Arabidopsis thaliana: one gene and its partners. The protein of the gene in region 1 interacts with the protein of each later gene in a pairwise test. Each region holds a gene or a part of one and is shown in the gene's direction. Other genes may lie near its edges.

Region 1 (4,590 bases):
GGAAGAAGCTGGTTTTACAATGTCAAGAATGACTGATATTCACGGTAATGAAGAAACAAACGAGGAAGAAGAAGATATCTGGGAGGAGGATGATGGCAAGGTTAAAACTGATTCAGTCAAGAACGTGGCTCATGTGATGAGAACTCAGCAGAGTGAGAATTCATCTTTACCATCATCAGGTGAAGCAAAGAAGTCTACATCAGAAGCTAGGTCCAATAAAGTGTCGAACACTAAAAAAGTTGGAAGCAGTGGAAACTCTCTTAGAGACAAGCTAATTTCTGAAGCGCCTGTGATGAATTGGGGATCACAGTTGACTAATTGGGAATCAACTACGGAAGTTCGAGCTAATTACCGGGGTTTAGAGATCGAGAGCCACTGGGGCAGGGTGGATCAAGATGCTATAATTCCAGCAGATAAAATAGCAGAATTGAATCTTCAGGCAACCGTGTATAGAGAAGAGAGAACAGAGACACCTCCATGCCGTGCTTCTCTAAAGAAAGGTGGTCTTTGCCAGAGAAGAGATCTCAGAGTCTGTCCGTTTCACGGACCCATTGTACCCCGGGATGATGAAGGAAACACCATAATCCAGGAATCTCCATTAGATGAGAGTGAAAACCAAACTTCTTCAACTTCAGGGACCAACCAGGATGTGTCTATGGATGAAACAACTTCAGATTCTGATCCTAATCAGTTAGCTAGGCAAATAGCGAAAGAGGCTCTGAAGAATATCCGGGAGAAAGACAAAGAAGTGGTGAGGAAAAGAGCAAAGCTTGTTAAGGTTAAGGTTAAGGAACACAATCATGAAGTTCTGCGTGGTGCGGCAATAGCCTCAACTTCTAGATCGAATGCTATGGATGATGAGTTTGATAGAGTTTTTGCTGAAAAGAAAAACAAGAAGCAAACCTTTTCCACAAGGCGTAAGAAAACAACGGCTAAAGATAGAATATCCCAGAGACTGTTTAGTAATCGAGTAAAAGGTACTAATCCACAGCAGTTGGCTCAGGGCAATGATGAAAAGTGCCGGGATACATCGGCTAACCAGTGGTAACAAATAACTAAAATCTTTCTAGTTTTGATCCAGTAGTGCCTTAAATTTGATTGTTTGATGCAAATAGGAGTAAAAAGCTAAAGAATATTTGATGAATGAATAATCAGATCCGCTTGTGATCTCTTGTAGCTGTGAAAACAGTTCTTAAGTCAAGTCCCAGATTCTTTGAAGCTTTATATTTTTCTCAGACAAAAGTCACAAAACCCAACAGAAAGATAATAGTACAATTGACATGTTCTGTTAAAAAGCAACGACAGATCATTGAAGCTGGATGGATCGTTGTTGTTCGCTTTTTTCTTTTTCTTTTATGTGGTGTGTTTAAGGATGATATCACTCATGAGACCGATCACTGATGAGAAGCAATTATTAATTGAATAATTTGCTTTTAAGATTGTGAGAGTTTGCTTGAGATGAAGAAGAGTAAAATGTTCATTTACATTATCATTGGTCTTTGAAGTGACTTTGAACCCAAGCCACATCCCATTACTTATTATTCCTCTTATGAATTTCATATTCTTAAACCGTCTAATTTTACCTAAATACATCTCTTAAAGTTTTTGTTAAAGTAAACAGAAAGATGAGCATGTTTTTCATGAATCTTTGAATTTAGCTGTCATTTTAGAAGTTGAAAATCATTTTTCTTGTACAAAGGAAAAGAAATTGTTTGAATTAAAAGTAAAAAAAGAACACACAATAATGATAGACAGAATCCCACTAGAGAGAAAAACATCTAGAATAAAAAAAAAGAAGCAATCATGTGCACCATGTACATATTTAGGCCCATCTCTACTGGATCATGGCCCTTTAATTAAAAACAAAGAAATCATTGAGTGAGAGAGGATATACTGTACGTATATTATTAGAATATGATTATTTTTCCCCTATCCAGTAAATTCTTCTGAATCTCTTATAATTCAATTTGTTTCCAAATAACATTCTCTCTTTAACACAGCCGCCTTTGTGACCGTCCGATCTTAAATCAGCGTTTCCGGTTCATTTGACGGCAACTATCTCTCTCTCTCTCTCTAGAGAATTGATGAAGAAGAGCATCTATCTTTTTTGTTTTTGAAAATTAACAACACTTCACGAGGGTTGACCTGTTTCGGTGGTGTTTCTTCAATTCCGGATTTTGATCTTTCGTTTCGATCGAAGATCAATCAAAGTCTCCACCTTTCTTCAATGGATTTGGATAGCATGGACTGTACATCAACCATGGATGTGACAGATGATGAAGAGATCCACCAAGATCGCCATTCCTACGCTTCTGTTTCCAAGCATCATCATACTAATAACAACACCACCAACGTTAATGCTGCTGCTTCTGGGCTTCTCCCTACCACCACCAGTGTTCATGAGCTTCTCGAATGTCCTGTCTGCACCAATTCTATGTACCCTCCCATTCATCAGGTCTTTCTTTTCAATCCCTTGTTCTCTGATTTCGTTTCCCCGGATCTTTAATTTGTTGATTTTGTTTAGGGTTTTGAGTTAATGATGTGAATCATGGATGTTGAAGCAGTGGTTGTGTTGCTCTTGTAACTTGAAATTTAGTTTTATCCATTCACTAATGGCTACAATTGAAACAATTGTCACTAAATTTTGTCAATAGCTTTGATAGTTTCTAAGATTCTTCTTATTGTTTCTTTAGAGAATTATGGAATAACAGATAGACAATTATTTGATTTCCCTACAGTGTCACAATGGACATACGTTGTGTTCAACCTGTAAAGCCAGGGTTCACAACCGCTGCCCAACTTGTAGACAAGAGCTCGGTGATATCCGTTGTTTGGCACTGGAAAAAGTAGCCGAATCACTTGAACTACCTTGTAAACACATGTCACTTGGATGTCCTGAAATCTTCCCTTATTACAGTAAGCTCAAACATGAGACTGTATGTAACTTCAGACCTTATAGCTGCCCTTATGCTGGATCCGAGTGTTCTGTTACGGGCGATATCCCTTTCTTAGTTGCTCATCTGAGGGATGATCATAAGGTGGATATGCATTCTGGGTGTACTTTCAACCATCGTTATGTCAAGTCTAATCCTCGTGAAGTCGAAAACGCCACATGGATGTTAACTGTAAGTACATATGAATCGTGCTTCATAGTATACACTTAGATAAGTTAGGAGGCTTTGTTTAAAGTAATAGGATTATATTTGTGATAAAATTTGATCTGTCTGGTATAAACTGTAATGTGATCAGCTGAGTCAAATTTTGCTTTTGTTGCGAGTTAGCTTTCCTAGAGAAGGTCCAGTTATTTATCTAATCTATGGTTGTGAATTGTGAATCTTCCATCTCGCTATACATGTTGACTTGATATACTTTAATGCTTATCAAGGTTTCCTCTGTTTTGGTTTTGTTTCTGGTTCAAAAATGAAAATCAGGTCTTTCACTGCTTCGGTCAATACTTCTGTCTTCACTTTGAGGCATTCCAGCTCGGAATGGCTCCAGTCTACATGGCGTTCCTGCGTTTCATGGGGGACGAGACAGAAGCTCGAAACTACAATTACAGTTTAGAAGTGGGAGGTTATGGTCGGAAGCTGATATGGGAAGGAACACCAAGAAGCGTAAGAGACAGCCACAGGAAAGTTAGAGACAGTCATGATGGACTAATTATACAAAGAAACATGGCTCTCTTCTTCTCAGGTGGAGATAGGAAAGAGCTGAAACTTCGAGTCACTGGAAGGATATGGAAAGAGCAACAACAAAGTGGTGAAGGTGGAGGAGCTTGTATCCCAAACTTGTCTTGAAAATTAAAAAAAAAAAATCAAACTGATTTTGAAAACCTCACCGATTTGGCCTTGTCTCTGTAACCATGGTTATCTGTAATTAGGGTTTTCTCTGACGATAAACTTGGGGTTGTTCTTATGTATCTCTCTCTGTCTTTCTCATGTCATGGAGGTTTTTTTATTATAAAATATATAGTTCATTACAATTCTGCTATATCTGGAGGAAAAACGTAAAATGTTGAACCTTTTACTTTTATCAACTGTAGTGTTCATAAATTTATGTAATGCTTGTGTTGTGTCCACGAAACGACGACGTTTCATCATTGTTCTGTTAAACCCAGCTTTTGGAACTTGGAAGTGATGAGCTTTATATCTGGAAAATGTAAAATGTTGAACCTTTTTTCAACTGTAGTGTTGTTCAAAGGCGTTAGCTTTGTTTAAGAAACGACGACGTTTCATCATTGTTCTGTTAAACCCAGCTTTTGGGGGTTTTCTCACTCGGAAGTGAGCTTTATCCCTTTGGTTTCCATCAATGGAGGTTCTACTAAACTCCAATGATGGTTTCTTCAATTTCTCGTCTTTCTCGTCCAATTCGAACAGGAGACTCGCTAACCAACGTCGATTCAACTTGCCCATCTCCAAATTCCACTACTATCGCGTTTCAATTCTCCGAGTCTCGGCTCGGTTCGGAGAGACCTCGAGGCGACGTAATTCGCTGAGGAAGAAGATCATCGGTGATGAGTATTGGCGTTCGACTCCGAAATCTTCTGAACCAGGTACGAAACCTCTAAACGAAAGCCATAAGTTTGGTCAC
Region 2 (5,201 bases), on another chromosome or scaffold:
TCTTAATTTGGATGGATTTTAAGTTTAGAGATAAAAGGATGTATCCAAATTAGCTAGGGCTAATATTTTCAGTTTGTTTTTCTCTTCATTTATTTGTTGCAGATTGAATCACTATTCGTTTGGAACAACAGACGGTACATGGGATGAGATTCATATAAACGTAGAGCATAAGTAACCATACCTTGTTAATGCTTTAAGCTATTTACGTTCGAAATATCATTTGCTTGTTGCATAATATTCGCCTCATGCATGTTAGTTTTGGATTATCAACAAATGATTTTTTTTTTCTTGTTCCTATAAAAAGGCTTCAACAAAATTGATCCTGTTCAAAAGATATTTTTGATTTAAGTATGCAAATATGTAACATATATTACCAAATAATTAGTCAATGAAACAGGATCAATGTTTGTAGGAGAATTGTTTGTTGTTTTATGTCCTCTACAACTCATACACCAAACAACACATTATTGCAATACTTTTTATATTTATTTTCTTCATTACGAATTACAAAATTAGTAAAAAAAAAGTTCTTATATAAAACATGAAGCTTTTTTCGAATGTCAAATGCATGTAGAGGTAAAAAAAAAGATACGAATTAAATTTTTAGCAGGGGGAGAGGAATTAATCAAGTCACGTGCTCGTCTGCCCAATTTGCCTGCTCTCTCCATTTCCTCTTCACGTGCTTTCACATTATTTCCCTTAATGTCTCTCTCTACCTCTTTCTCTTCATATTTACTTCTGTGCCACTCTTTATTTACCATGGTTTTTTTCTTTCTCTAAAACTTGATTATACAAAAATCATATAATCACGTAATCGGATCATATATTCATCAATTAACAAATGTACTATCTCCATCCACTGTTTAATTAATACGAAATTAAATATGGTGGTTGTCATTTCTTACATCATGTAAACTTAAGTCAAATCATTTTGGCCCCAGAAACTAATATATTCAAGATTAAATCTGATTAGCATCATTGATACTCTGAACAAGTCAAATGTCAAAGAGATTATTAAAACAGCATCATTACCAAAAACACAACATATTATTTCATTTCTTTTGTCTTAATCACTTTATTAATATATATAACTGTAAATTTGGAACTGTTCTAAGGTTCGCCAGTTGGGATATATTCCATTGCCTGTCAGTTTTTTTATTTTGTTTCAATTTCCTTTTTTTGTCGTATCATTTGGTAATGGTGATGATGATACAACATTTTATTTGAACTTTCAAAATCATATATTATAACTTTCTTCTGTGAGATTTAACACGACATCCAAAAAAAAGGACCGAATCTTTCTGACCTACACTAAGAAAACTCACCAATGACTATGACTATTTCTTCAAATCCAATTTAGATTTTTGCTATCATTATCGAAATAGCTAAAAATATTTGGGTTATTAAAAAATAACTTTCATCTAACCAAATTAAATTTCCAATGGGACGAATAATGAACGCAAAAAATGTAGTAAAAAACACACATTTAATTCAGCAACTTAAATAAAATCTGCAAAAAAAAGTAAATTAAATGAAATATACAGATTTCGAATTATTTCGATTGTAAAAGAAATAGAGTAAATAAATGAAAGAGAATATTTGAACAAACTAGTTAGAGTTTATCTACTTTTATTGTTGAAGAAAATATTGCAATAATGTTCTCTTTAAGACCAAAAATATGAATACTTTCAACATTATTTTCCCTTTAATTTTTTCCCAAAGTAGACACTAACGAACAATCATCAAAGTATTTTTCACATATATTACTATAATGTTAGAACATTACATTTTTTATTTCGTCAAGTAGTGTATTTATTTATTGCAATATCTAAAAGACATTAACAAAAGCAAGATTATGAAAATAGTAACATTATTTAATTTATTTACACAAAGTCCCTCTTCTTTGTAAGCATTTAAAAACCCAAATAGCCCAAACCGTCTCTACGCATAATCGGAGAAATCTCTCTGCCGCCATATTCAAAGCAGTTTCCACACATTTAATGTGAACACGTTTTCTCACTACCAACAAAAAAAAACTCAAATCGGAAAAAAAAATGTCGGTTCACGGACGATTTCCGGCGAGTCCACCGATTTCATTATCTCCGTCGTCTTCTTCCACATCTCCGTCTTCACAGTCACCGTCAACACCACCTGATCTAAAGCAACGAGTCATCGCTTGTCTCAACAAGCTCGCTGATCGTGACACTTTAGCTCTCGCTTCCGCTGAGCTTGACTCAATCGCTAGAAACCTTACTCACGATTCCTTCTCTCCGTTTCTTAACTGTATCCACAACACTGACTCTTCCGTTAAATCTCCGGTGAGGAAACAGTGCGTTGCTCTTTTATCGGTTCTTTCTCGTTACCACGGAGATTCTCTAACACCTCACCTTGCTAAGATGGTTTCAACTGTTATTCGCCGTCTCCGAGATCCGGATTCCTCCGTTCGCTCTGCTTGCGCCGTCGCGACGGCTGATATGTCGGCTCATGTTACGAGGCAGCCTTTTGCTTCCGTCGCGAAGCCGTTGATTGAGACTTTGATTCAGGAAGGTGATTCGAATCTGCAGATCGGAGCGGCGTTGTGTTTAGCGGCGTCTGTTGATGCGGCGACGGATCCGGAATCGGAGCAATTGAGAAAATCGTTGCCTAAGATTGGGAAATTGCTTAAGAGTGATGGTTTTAAGGCTAAAGCTGCGTTGTTGAGTGCCGTCGGGAGTATAATTACCGCCGGTGGTGCGGGAACTAAACCGGTTTTGGATTGGTTAGTTCCGGTTTTGATTGAGTTTTTGAGCAGTGAGGATTGGGCGGCGAGGAAGTCTGCGGCTGAGGCGTTGGGTAAAGTTGCGACGGCGGAAGATTTGGCGTCGCAGTATAAGAAGACTTGCACGACGGCTCTTGAGAGTAGAAGATTTGATAAGGTAAAAAAAATAGAGACTTAAAGTTTTGTTTTTGTGTTCAATCTTAAATCAGATTTTGAGACTTAGTGGATTCACAATGTAGGTGAAAAGTGTTAGAGAAACTATGAATAGAGCATTGAATCTGTGGAAGGAAGTTTCAACTGATGATGAAGCTTCTTTATCTCCATCAAGATCTTCAACAGGTATGTACTAGTAGTCATTACTTAGTTGTCTCAATACAGTGAGAATGCAAATTAAACTAGGGACTTGCTTCAATTTGATTTCTCAGATGATGGTAACATTGGATGCTTTTCCTCTGTCACGAGAAGTTCCACCATTGACGTTGGTTTAAAATCCGCTAGGCCAAAGAAAGTAACGCCTATAATGAAGAGGTCCCCATCTTTGCCTGTGAATAGATCATATGCAGCAACTAGACAAAAAGAAAATCTTCCAAAAAGAAATCAAGGGAATATGACCATGTTAGTAGAAGAAGCCTCTAGTGTGGATAACAAGGGACCACATTTTACACCGGTAAAGAAATCTTCGGAAGAAACAGAAGAGAAGGCTAACTCAGGGGGACCAGATATAATCAAACATACTATCTCTGAGAAAAGCAGGGAAGATAGTAAAGTATCGAGCTTTGGTGGTTTGAGGTCTGGCTCAAGGGTTGCACCTTGTAGTGACGATGGTGATTCTGTAAAGAATTGTAAAGATGATGTTGAAGAGAGCAAGAAAGATAGTGAGGAACTGTCTTTGATACGGGAACAGCTTGCTCTGATTGAGAACCAACAGTCTAGTCTCTTAGACTTACTACAGGTATACACTTGGTCTTTAATAAGCATAGTGTCCCTTTATGTAGATAAATTGTTTGGTTATGAATGTTGTAGATAGCTCAATCCTCACTGATTTTTTTTTTCATTTTGGATGTAGAAATTCATGGGAACCTCACAGAGTGGAATTCAGTCTCTGGAGTCTCGTGTAAGCGGTCTAGAGATGGCGTTGGATGAAATATCGTGCGATCTGGCGGTTTCAAACGGGAGAGTTCCTAGGAATAGTAGTGGCTGCGCAGGAGACAGTTGTTCCAAACTACCTGGTACAGAGTTCTTAAGTCCCAAGTTCTGGAGAAAAACCGAGGAGAGACCACGGAACAGAAACACAGCTAATGAAATGGCTGCGTACGACCAGGGGATGCGAGAATCAACAGATACGAACAACGGTCAAAGAGGAGGTTCAGTTTTTCAAAAGAGATCACGAAGAGACCAGTTCCAAGACTGTATGCATACAACACTACAGAAACCAACCACCAGGTAAAACCATCTTTTTAGTAAAGAAAAAAAATCTCTGTTTCCTTTAGCTTATAAAAACATGGTTCTAAAAGTTTGCTTTGTGTTTTCAGATTATCTACTTGAAGCAAAAGTGAAAAGAGTGCACTTTTTGAGAAGAAAGTGATGTGATAATTGAAGCTGACCAGACACTAACACAAGAAGCTGAAAATGAAAAGCCAAAAAATCCCTCAGATTTGATGCTTTGCTTCAAACCGCTTGTTTGAATTTTCAAATCTCTCACACATGTATTAGTAATTTAATCAGCGAGTGAAATAATAGAGTTTCAGAAGAGTAAAATGCATGTGAATAGATCTGATTATTTATGGTAATGTGAGCATTAGAGTTATGACAAACCCATGATGCAAAGATTTGTATATACTGTTTTGTGTTACTCTGATCTGTATTGTAAAATCGTTTGGGAAGAAAGGAATTATTGGTTGCTGATATATAAGAAGAATGATGACAATACAGATACGACTACATTAGACTCCATATGTCTGTGTCAGAAACTCAGAAATTATTGGCTACCACTCCTATAGTTCTATTCCTATGACGGTCTGTTACAAAAAAAAAAAACGATTTTCGTAGTAATAAATAGTGATAAGATAAGGTAGGTAAATAACATGACTACCACAAAAGTCCTGCATTGGTTTCAGGTTTTAGGGCCCGCATTTCAATGGACGAACCTAATTTCAAAAAAATAGAGACCAAAATACAAGAGAACATTCAAGGGATCATTTAATCACTTGGCAAATCCGGTGGCCGCAAATTTTGAATTATTATTATGTACAAGAGAATATTCATCCCATTTTTCTTTTCTTTTTGGAGTATCAAGAGATTGTGGACTTTGAACGAATGTAAAATTTATTCACACAAAAATTCTGTTTTACATCTAGTGCTCGTGAAGTAGACCATATCAGACTGTAAGTGTTGTGGGTTTTTTTCTAACGACATAGGTTCTTTAGTTGTTGAATAAAATACT
Region 3 (5,070 bases), on another chromosome or scaffold:
ACCTGTGTAAACATAGCATGCATCCACAAATCAAATCTCTAGAATGATCCAGATGAGTAGTTTCAGATATTCCAGGACTGCTGGCTCAGAGATCACAGCGAAACAGGACATACCACACATGCTGTTTCTGTTAAAGGTCAATGTTCCAGCTGGTGATCTTCTAGCTGGAAGTCCCTTTGCACTCCATTCAATGAAAGGAACAGCCTCATCTATGTTGTACCCACTAGTCCATGTCACGGTCATCTATCAAAGATAGAAAAATAAGCAAGTTTTAGCTAAAGATCCCAAATATTGTATAGCTGCTTCAGAAGTCTCAAGGCCATTGAGTGGAAAAACTTACTTCGTCCCAATTCTTCCCTAATGCAAGACGCGGATAGACAGGTGCTTTAGGATTGAAGAAAGCTACAGGATTCGAAACCCCGAGAAGGTGTGGCTGTGATATTCAAAAGATCAATAATTAAGTCCACTTGATATACAAAATACTAAACTGAGAAAAACTATAGTTATAACCTACCTCTTGAACTCCATTGGAAAACAGTGCAAAGGAGACATCAGCTCTCTGATTTATAATCTGGAACTTGAGAGTCACATTCCCGGACTTCATGTAATCTGGATGAGAATTACAATACATGTACTGCCAAATAGAAATTAAAAGGGGAATGTTACACCGGGACTTAAAAAAAAAAAAAAAATCACTGGTAAATATGTAATAAACCAAACCTTGATGGGAGAAGAGCATATGTAAGGAGTTTTCTCTTTGCCACCACTTGTTGGCCAACAGTTACCCGAACTAACAAACAACAAAGACAAGTTAATAATGCACAAATGGCACGTTCACAAGTTAACAAACACAGATGCAGATTAGAAAAAATACTCGAATTTTGCTGGAGAGAAAACTCCTATCCAATCATCTGAAGTGGGCTTGGGGTTGGAGATAGCAAGATTTACCCATTCTGTATCTTCACCCTGTAAGATCAAAGTCATGACATCAATAACATATCTATTTAAGTTTGGTTTTTGTGATAATTACGTGAAATCAAGAAAACATATTCAAGTCTATCATACAATTTTTTTGACATTTAAAAAAACCATCTCTTAAGAGTTAATATATATCTGTCAAACAAGAATCTGACAAGAACAATAATATGATGAAAGAATTTGTTATTGGAACCTGGGAACCAAGAACTTGAGGCGAAGCGTGAAGTTTGACAGAACTATCTAAAGCAAGACTTGTTTCGTAAACATTAATTTGAGCAAGTGCTTGATCTCCACGACCATTGGCATGATCCAAACATAAGCTCGAGCTGAACAGTGCGAGTAAACACAGAAGCACACCTAAAACTCTAGCCATATTTTTTTTTGTTTTTCCTTTGTTGTGACTGAGAAACAAAACCAGAAAGGTATATATATATATATTATAATCAGGATATATCTAGGAATCCCAAAATTGATTCATGTCTATCGAATTAAACAAAATCAAATATTTTCTTTCACCGTCAAATCTTTAGTCAGGAATATTCTAACAGTTTCTTTTTAATATTCTAACAGTTTTTTCTTAATGATAGTTCATACTGTTTTAAAAACAAATAATGATAACGGAAAAAACGGATTTTCGTTTTATTCAGACTTATGTACATTAGGCTGATCCGGGTCGGACCGGCTTTGAACCGGAAATTAATAAAGCTTGATTGTTAAATTTGGCAACCGTGGCTTCGGTTTCAATCGCGCTGTAATCGCATCACTAATTCGGGTCACTTTGGAAAGAAAGAAGAAGAAGATGAAGAAACCATCGAAAAAGAGCGAAATCGAGTTCTGCACGGTGTGCCGGTTTCATCACGACCAAGGCTCGCGCCACAAGTACTTCCCTCGCCACAAAAGTTCCCTCTCTTCCTTACTCGATCGATTCAGATCGAAGATAGCTGACGTCAGATTCTTCCTGAAGAACCCTAGCGTTCTACGGCCACAAGAGCAGTCGCAAAACCGTGTTTGGTGTGTCTTCTGCGATGAGGACATTGTTGAGCTCGGTAGCTCCTTCGCCTGGTATGCCATTCCGTTTTCTCTTTCCTCTCGATTTGTGACTGTTTGTTTGATTTGGGTTCATTGTTGTGCGAACATTAGTAGCTGTGTTACTTTATTTGAATGTAGAATCAGAGTGCGCAAGAGTTGATTGAAACTGTGCTAGAAAACTGGGATTGTATCTAAACTGATGCGTCTTCTGATGATAATTGATTTATTTGACTGCACATAATACTTTGTTTGGAAACTTTGTATCAGTTCTAAGGCTATCAATCACTTCGCAAGTTCCGATCATCTTAAGAATATCAAGCAATTTCTGTCGAAAAATGGCCCGGCAATGGATTGCATAGACGAGTTCCGAATTTCAGAAGCTGATGTAGCTAAGGTATGCACTATTTACTTGAATATTATGCTCTTCTGTTTTTACAGATCTCAATTGCAACCTTTGCGGTTTAAGAGTGTAGCCATGTTATTCGTTGAAATCTCTAATGAAATTCTATTCATGCTGGATGCAGTGGGAGAAAAAATGTCAGTCATTTGGAAATGAAGATGCATCTTTTGAAGGGTCCTGTGGACAGCTGTCTGGGACATCTAATGATATCCACACTAAACTTGCGTTTGAAACTATGGATAGAATTAAAAAAGTTCCTGCACACCATATAAATTCATATAAATCAAATGATGTTATGCCTTTACAGTATAATACGAATGAGTATCAGATATCACTTTCAGAGATTCCTGGAGTTATACATAATGGTTCATATCTGAACATGGATGATTCCCAATTCCCTCTATGTGATGAATCAGGTATTTTTGGTTGATTCCGACCTCCACAATTTGTCAGTTTCCAAGTGTTTACAAGTTGTGTATAATAGTCTCTAACTCTCTATAATTATATTTTCTAGGGAACGGGTTTGGCGAACATTCCATTCCTTGTAGAAGCAAGGACTACTCGGGCAACGGTAATTATTGCACCCAAGAGGTGGGTTTCAGTCATAGTAACATTGATATTCTGATAATCTGGTTATGGTGCATCTATATGACGCTTCCTGTTAGTTTCATCATGAGGATTCTTTGGCTCAGAATTTTGGTTATAGGCTAGTTTTTCTAAAGTTTATGGTCTTAAGTATTCCTTGGTTCAGGAATTTCTTATGTGTTATATGCGTAATTTGCACATCAAAAAAATTCTTCTATATATGAGAGGTTTTTTAGGCAGAATGAATTTTATTAAAGTTTGGGGTAAGAAATACTTTTGTGTGTTGTTTTTATCATCAAAGTTCCTTCACTGTTTGGCTATCTTTTTCCATGTGTTCAACTACATCATACCTCCAGAGCTATCTCATTGGCTAAGTCCAAACTTTTATAAAAGAGCCTGTGACTGACATTGTCTTCATCTAGAATTATCAGGTGAGCCAAGATAAGAAACAAATTGATGGCTCTTACAATCCTCCAGGTAGGCCTCTGCTTTCAAATTTGATCTGCGTTGTGTTAATTTCATGATTAGGGCTTTATCGTCTAGGTCTATGAATTTCATTAACGTAGCCAATCTTATATGCACTACTTTTAATGGCATGGGTTTTATTTTTTTCAGGTGTGGTGGGAATGACTAGCATTTCGTCCTCACATTCCACTGATGCTGGCGGGAACGTTCACTCTGGAGCTCCTCCACCTTGGCTTGATGCAAATGATGGGGATTTTTCTAGTGTTCAACTAAACCAATCAGATGTGGCCCGCTTTCAGGCAAAGGTACCTGGAAAGAATCGTAAGCTGAATCCTAATAGGGTTGGCGCTGCATGGGCTGAAAGGAGAAAGATAGAGATAGAAATGGAGAAGAGTGGACATGTAACGAAGAGTAACATTGATCCAGACTGGCTTCCCAACTTTGGTCGGGTTTGGCAATCAGGCACTAGAAAAGAATCCAGGAAAGAATTTGAGAAGGAAAAACGGAAGTTAGTGAAAACTGAAAGCATCTCTACAGAATCAGAACCAGTCAAAATACAACCGTACATTAGCAAACGGGCGGTAAGTTTTTACCTTTGCTCATGTTGAATTATAAATGACTACTGGTCTCATGTCATTTGATATTTTTTCTACTTCTCAAACGTATTTGTTTGGATTGATATTCCTTTTAGCGACATATCATGTGGTTTCCTTTTATACTCAACATAAAAGGATACATATTGCTTTGTTGCTACTGTTTTAAATTTAGTTCGAGAAATACTTTTCAGTGGTCTTATGTATATACATTAATTGTGATTGCAGCGAAGAGAGAGTGGTGAGTAATGGCGGTGGCTGACATCCAAAATGGCAACTAGTAAGGATTATCTCATGTAGGAATTTTATAATCCTCGTTTCCTGGAGATCCTACTCCAATGTATCTTGTTTTCATGTTGAGCTATGATAGAATTTAGAAGTATGTGATCCTGGGACTCCTTTCAAGTAGTGTAAAAAATGGATAAAATTTTGTTTTTGGTACGAGAGATTTTAAAGGGTTAAAGTTTTACGTAGCTTATGCAGTAATAAAATATAGCATGGAGAAGGCCTTTCTCCACTATCTGATCTTCCTTTGGGTTCTTCATCTTAAGAAAGATCTAAATCTTTTCATCTGATGTTTCTTTTTCTGGGGGAGATAAAGTGAAATAACTTTGTTGTGTGGTTCATAGATTGTGGCCATCTCAACAAACTGTATCTATTTTCTAGTTGGATACACATATTTAGAATGACATTTGTACACTAAATTACTTTAATTCGAATATTTCCCTACGGTGGTATGAGATTAAGACACAGTAGTGTGTAGAACTAAGGGAGTAACATTGTTGCTCTTGATTAAATGTACAAAATTTAGCTATTATCTGATGATGACTGTTTCTGGTGAGCAAAACCTGGATGCATTTGATTGACGCTTGATCCTAAACTTCCAGAAGGTTCCTTTAGCTGAAACCAGATTCTCCTGGCACAAGAACTCCCAGGAGAGCCACTTTTCAGCTGTCCTGTGCACATCATGCACGAAAACATCTGTTGTTGAGTTGCTACTTCCTTTTCTTGCTAACACAG
Region 4 (3,472 bases), on another chromosome or scaffold:
TTTTTGTTTGTTGCAGTCACCAAAAGGAGACATAAGTTACTTGCAGAAGTTCTTTTTAATGTATGTTGGTGGAAGACAACCTTTCCATTTCCAAGAAGATTTCTGCGGCACTGCTCTTTTAAGGTTGTTGTGTGTTTCACTAAATGGTACAAAATAATGTAGCTTTTGGTTTTCTTGCTTGAATAAGTTTTTACATTGATTGTTGGAATAGTGCGGAGTGGCTGAAGACTGACACTAGACGGACTGCTATAGGGCTTGATTTTGATCTTGAGGCGTTAGAATGGTGTATGGATAACAACATTAGTAAACTTGGTTCTGACGTGTATTCAAGAATGTCGCTTTTCCATGGGAATGTTTTAACTCCTCTTGAGGCTAAGCAAGTGAAATCTAAATCCCATGAGCTGATACAAAATATCAGCTTGGATGATGGTGATGATAATGAAGATTTGGCTGATCCGAGTGTTGTCGAATCTTTAGAGAAAGATGGACCTGATTCGTTGCCAAAGAGGGATATTGTGTGTGCTTTTAATTTTAGTTGTTGTTGTCTCCACAAACGCTCGGAGTTGGTTTCTTACTTCAAGAATGCACGTGACGCTTTGTCTAAGAAAGGTGGTATCTTCGTGATGGATTTATATGGAGGTGCTTCTGCTGAGGGACAGTTGAAGCTTCAACGGAAATTCCCTAATTTCACGGTAATAGTTCATTCTTGTACTTCATTCGGTAAAAAAGGGTGTCAGAGCCATAAATATCGAACTTACTAGAGATAACCGTACTAACGATTGTCCATATTCATTTGGCAGTATACATGGGAGCAGGCTGAGTTTGATATTTTAAGCCGCAAGACAAGGATCAGTCTGCACTATCACCTTCAGAAGCAGAACAGAAAGATTCGCCATGCTTTTTCATATAGCTGGAGACTGTAAGTGTCCTGTAGTCTACTTCCACATCCATTCTTTCTTCAAAGTGGGACAGTCATTACCCACAATCTCCCACAAGCCTTAAGAAAATATTACAGTTACAAAAAAACGAAGCATATTTGGTACTTAGGGGTTTGCTTAGCATTTTAGATAACTTGATAAGTGTAGGCTTTTGGTAATTTTGGTTGGCTGGGTGAGGTAGAGATTCTGTAGTGCAGCCACTATGGATCAAAACTTACACAAACATGTGCTCGAATGTTACTGATATCTAAATTCATATGTTAGTGACTTATCCTTGTGTTGGCTGGTAAGTAGCAGTGAAATGATATTGAATGTTATATTCGGGCAAGACAATATTCCTGCTTTCCTTATTGTCTGTAGATTTATTGTACTTGCACTCTTGAATCATTAAGTTCCTGAGAAGTAACTCCTGGATCTGCTGTTCATATATGTGTAGGTGGTCATTGCCGGAGATAAAGGATTGTATGGAGGAAGCTGGGTTTAGCTCAGTCCATTTCTGGCTCAGAGAAATGCCGGACGCTTCTGAAATGCGTAGAACAGATGGGTTTGGTGCTGGACGTGATATCAAGTACGAACAAGTCAAGAGCTTTCAACAGTGTGATTCTTGGAATGCTTACATTGTTGCGGTCAGCCTCTAGTTATGCTTTCTATCTTTTGATCAAAAGACACTAGCCCTTTAACTCAGATCCTTTGTCGATTTTACATCTAGTATTTATTTCTGACACGCACTGGTTTAGTTTCATGATTTCAATATTATTTTTTTGTCGTCTCATGATTTCAATTATCAAGCACAAAATTGTTAAAATGAATAGTGTAGGTGCTTCTGGAATCTTCAACGCTAGCCCAAAAGCCAAATAACACCATTTTCCACAAATTGTCCAATTTCCATCTTACGGCCAACAAAAAAAAGAGTAAAATAACAATTTAATTTTGTATCGATTGCGTCGTCGTTAGTTTTCCCATTTCCTCATAATTCTTCATCTCTTTCCTTTCTCATCTCTCGATTCCTTTCTTTCTTTCCATATTCCATTGATTTCTCTCTTCTTATAAAAATACAGATTCTCTCTTCTTAGAACCATCACCGATTCGAACAGATCTAATAAATCGTTTTTTTCACCAGGTAATGACTTGTTGTTTTCGCCGATCCATTAGTTTTTTCTTTCTGTTCTATAGTTTTGATGAGATTTAAGCAACAGATCTATTGATTTTTGATTCCATCGATCGGTTAATTTTGTAGATTTTTTTCGCCGGAGTTTGTTTTGATCCATTCTGTTATGGCGGAAGAACACAGACTTCAAGAACCACGATTATGTGCTAACAATTGTGGCTTCTTCGGAAGCACAGCTACACAAAATCTCTGTTCCAAATGTTTTCGAGATCTTCAACATCAAGAACAAAACTCTTCCACCGCCAAACATGCTCTTACCCAATCCTTAGCCGCCGTTGGCGCTGCTGCGTCTTCCTCCGTGTCGCCACCGCCTCCGCCTCCAGCTGATTCGAAAGAAATCGTTGAAGCGAAATCAGAGAAACGAGCGGCGGCTGAACCGGAGGAGGCGGATGGTCCGCCGCAAGATCCGAAGCGGTGTTTGACTTGTCGGCGGCGCGTGGGAATCACGGGGTTTCGGTGTAGGTGTGGTTTCGTTTTCTGCGGGACGCATAGGTACGCGGAGCAACATGAATGTTCGTTTGATTTCAAGCGGATGGGGAAGGATAAGATCGCTAAAGCGAATCCGATTGTGAAAGCTGATAAGCTTGAGAAGATTTGACTTTGTTGTTTGTTGTTTGTTGTTGTTGCTTTGGTTTTGTGCGTTTGAATGAAACACACATGAAGAAGAAAGAGCAAGAAACAAACATGTCAATGTAAATTTAAGCTTTATTTGATGATTTCTTCAGTTTGGTTATTAAATTTGCTTATTATTGATTTGATTGTTCCGTTTGATGATCTTGTAGAAGGCTTAAGTCGTATTATCAATGTGTAGAATTTGGATTTGGTTGATTGGTTCGTCATTACATTAGCCATTAGCCAATATGTAGAACAGAGAAAAGCATGACAACAACATAGGGTAGTCTTATTACAATGCATTGGAGAAAAGCACAAACTCAGAATTTCAAACCAGAATTTTGAAGTTTCTCTTGGATGATCATGTCGATTTTGTTCTCCATTTCAGGAGTCAAATAGTTCTTCCAATCACCGACTTCTCCTTTACGGAAAAATGTTTTGTTATCTCTACCTTCACATAATTTTCCGGTCTTATTGATCTCCAAACTGCTTAGATTACGTAGAGAGCAAAGATCTATAATCTCATCCACCAATCCGTTCTCTTCTTCTTCCTTAGTAAAGGAGAATCTAAGAACTCAGCAAGTCTCTTGATCTGCTCATGAGGTTCTGCTTTCATCTCCTCAAACCTCATGAAAAGGACATGATTTGGATCTTCCAAGCTTCTTCTCCAGTAGCTTAAGACTTGGTCCCAAAAAGGCCCAAAAAAGTTGACTCCCTTACAAAAAGACTCGAACGTTTCCTCGAAACTGGTTTT

What was found.
Region 2: the proteins of AT3G61790 (region 1) and AT1G27210 interact in a two-hybrid assay, tested with the Arabidopsis thaliana proteins (one large-scale study listed by BioGRID).
Region 3: the proteins of AT3G61790 (region 1) and TTL interact in a two-hybrid assay, tested with the Arabidopsis thaliana proteins (one large-scale study listed by BioGRID).
Region 4: the proteins of AT3G61790 (region 1) and AT2G27580 interact in a two-hybrid assay, tested with the Arabidopsis thaliana proteins (one large-scale study listed by BioGRID).

The regions. Positions count from the first base shown.
Region 1 is NC_003074.8:22,871,181-22,875,770, reverse strand, and holds AT3G61790 (Protein with RING/U-box and TRAF-like domain), read left to right. Parts: upstream 1-1,937; 5' UTR 1,938-2,227; coding exon 2,228-2,455; intron 2,456-2,738; coding exon 2,739-3,125; intron 3,126-3,431; coding exon 3,432-3,797; 3' UTR 3,798-4,074; downstream 4,075-4,590. Other genes in the region: AT3G61800 (ENTH/VHS protein), read left to right, coding at 1-1,048; emb1703 (embryo defective 1703), read left to right, coding at 4,309-4,590. UniProt on the Arabidopsis thaliana protein: E3 ubiquitin-protein ligase that mediates ubiquitination and subsequent proteasomal degradation of target proteins.
Region 2 is NC_003070.9:9,454,771-9,459,971, reverse strand, and holds AT1G27210 (ARM repeat superfamily protein), read left to right. Parts: upstream 1-1,795; 5' UTR 1,796-2,054; coding exon 2,055-2,915; intron 2,916-2,997; coding exon 2,998-3,097; intron 3,098-3,183; coding exon 3,184-3,710; intron 3,711-3,824; coding exon 3,825-4,201; intron 4,202-4,290; coding exon 4,291-4,303; 3' UTR 4,304-4,695; downstream 4,696-5,201.
Region 3 is NC_003075.7:12,813,090-12,818,159, forward strand, and holds TTL (coiled coil protein), read left to right. Parts: upstream 1-1,716; 5' UTR 1,717-1,777; coding exon 1,778-2,040; intron 2,041-2,274; coding exon 2,275-2,401; intron 2,402-2,531; coding exon 2,532-2,823; intron 2,824-2,921; coding exon 2,922-2,998; intron 2,999-3,414; coding exon 3,415-3,469; intron 3,470-3,607; coding exon 3,608-4,038; intron 4,039-4,278; coding exon 4,279-4,299; 3' UTR 4,300-4,533; downstream 4,534-5,070. Other genes in the region: PAP24 (purple acid phosphatase 24), read right to left, coding at 1-2, 114-243, 341-433, 515-634, 721-790, 875-966, 1,172-1,351; AT4G24910 (glucuronoxylan 4-O-methyltransferase-like protein (DUF579)), read right to left, coding at 4,865-5,070. UniProt on the Arabidopsis thaliana protein: Key regulator for endosperm and embryo nuclear divisions.
Region 4 is NC_003071.7:11,775,872-11,779,343, reverse strand, and holds AT2G27580 (A20/AN1-like zinc finger family protein), read left to right. Parts: upstream 1-1,790; 5' UTR 1,791-2,058; intron 2,059-2,175; 5' UTR 2,176-2,212; coding exon 2,213-2,704; 3' UTR 2,705-2,934; downstream 2,935-3,472. Other genes in the region: AT2G27590 (S-adenosyl-L-methionine-dependent methyltransferases superfamily protein), read left to right, coding at 17-123, 212-692, 801-919, 1,375-1,576; AT2G27570 (P-loop containing nucleoside triphosphate hydrolases superfamily protein), read right to left, coding at 3,039-3,204, 3,249-3,457. UniProt on the Arabidopsis thaliana protein: May be involved in environmental stress response.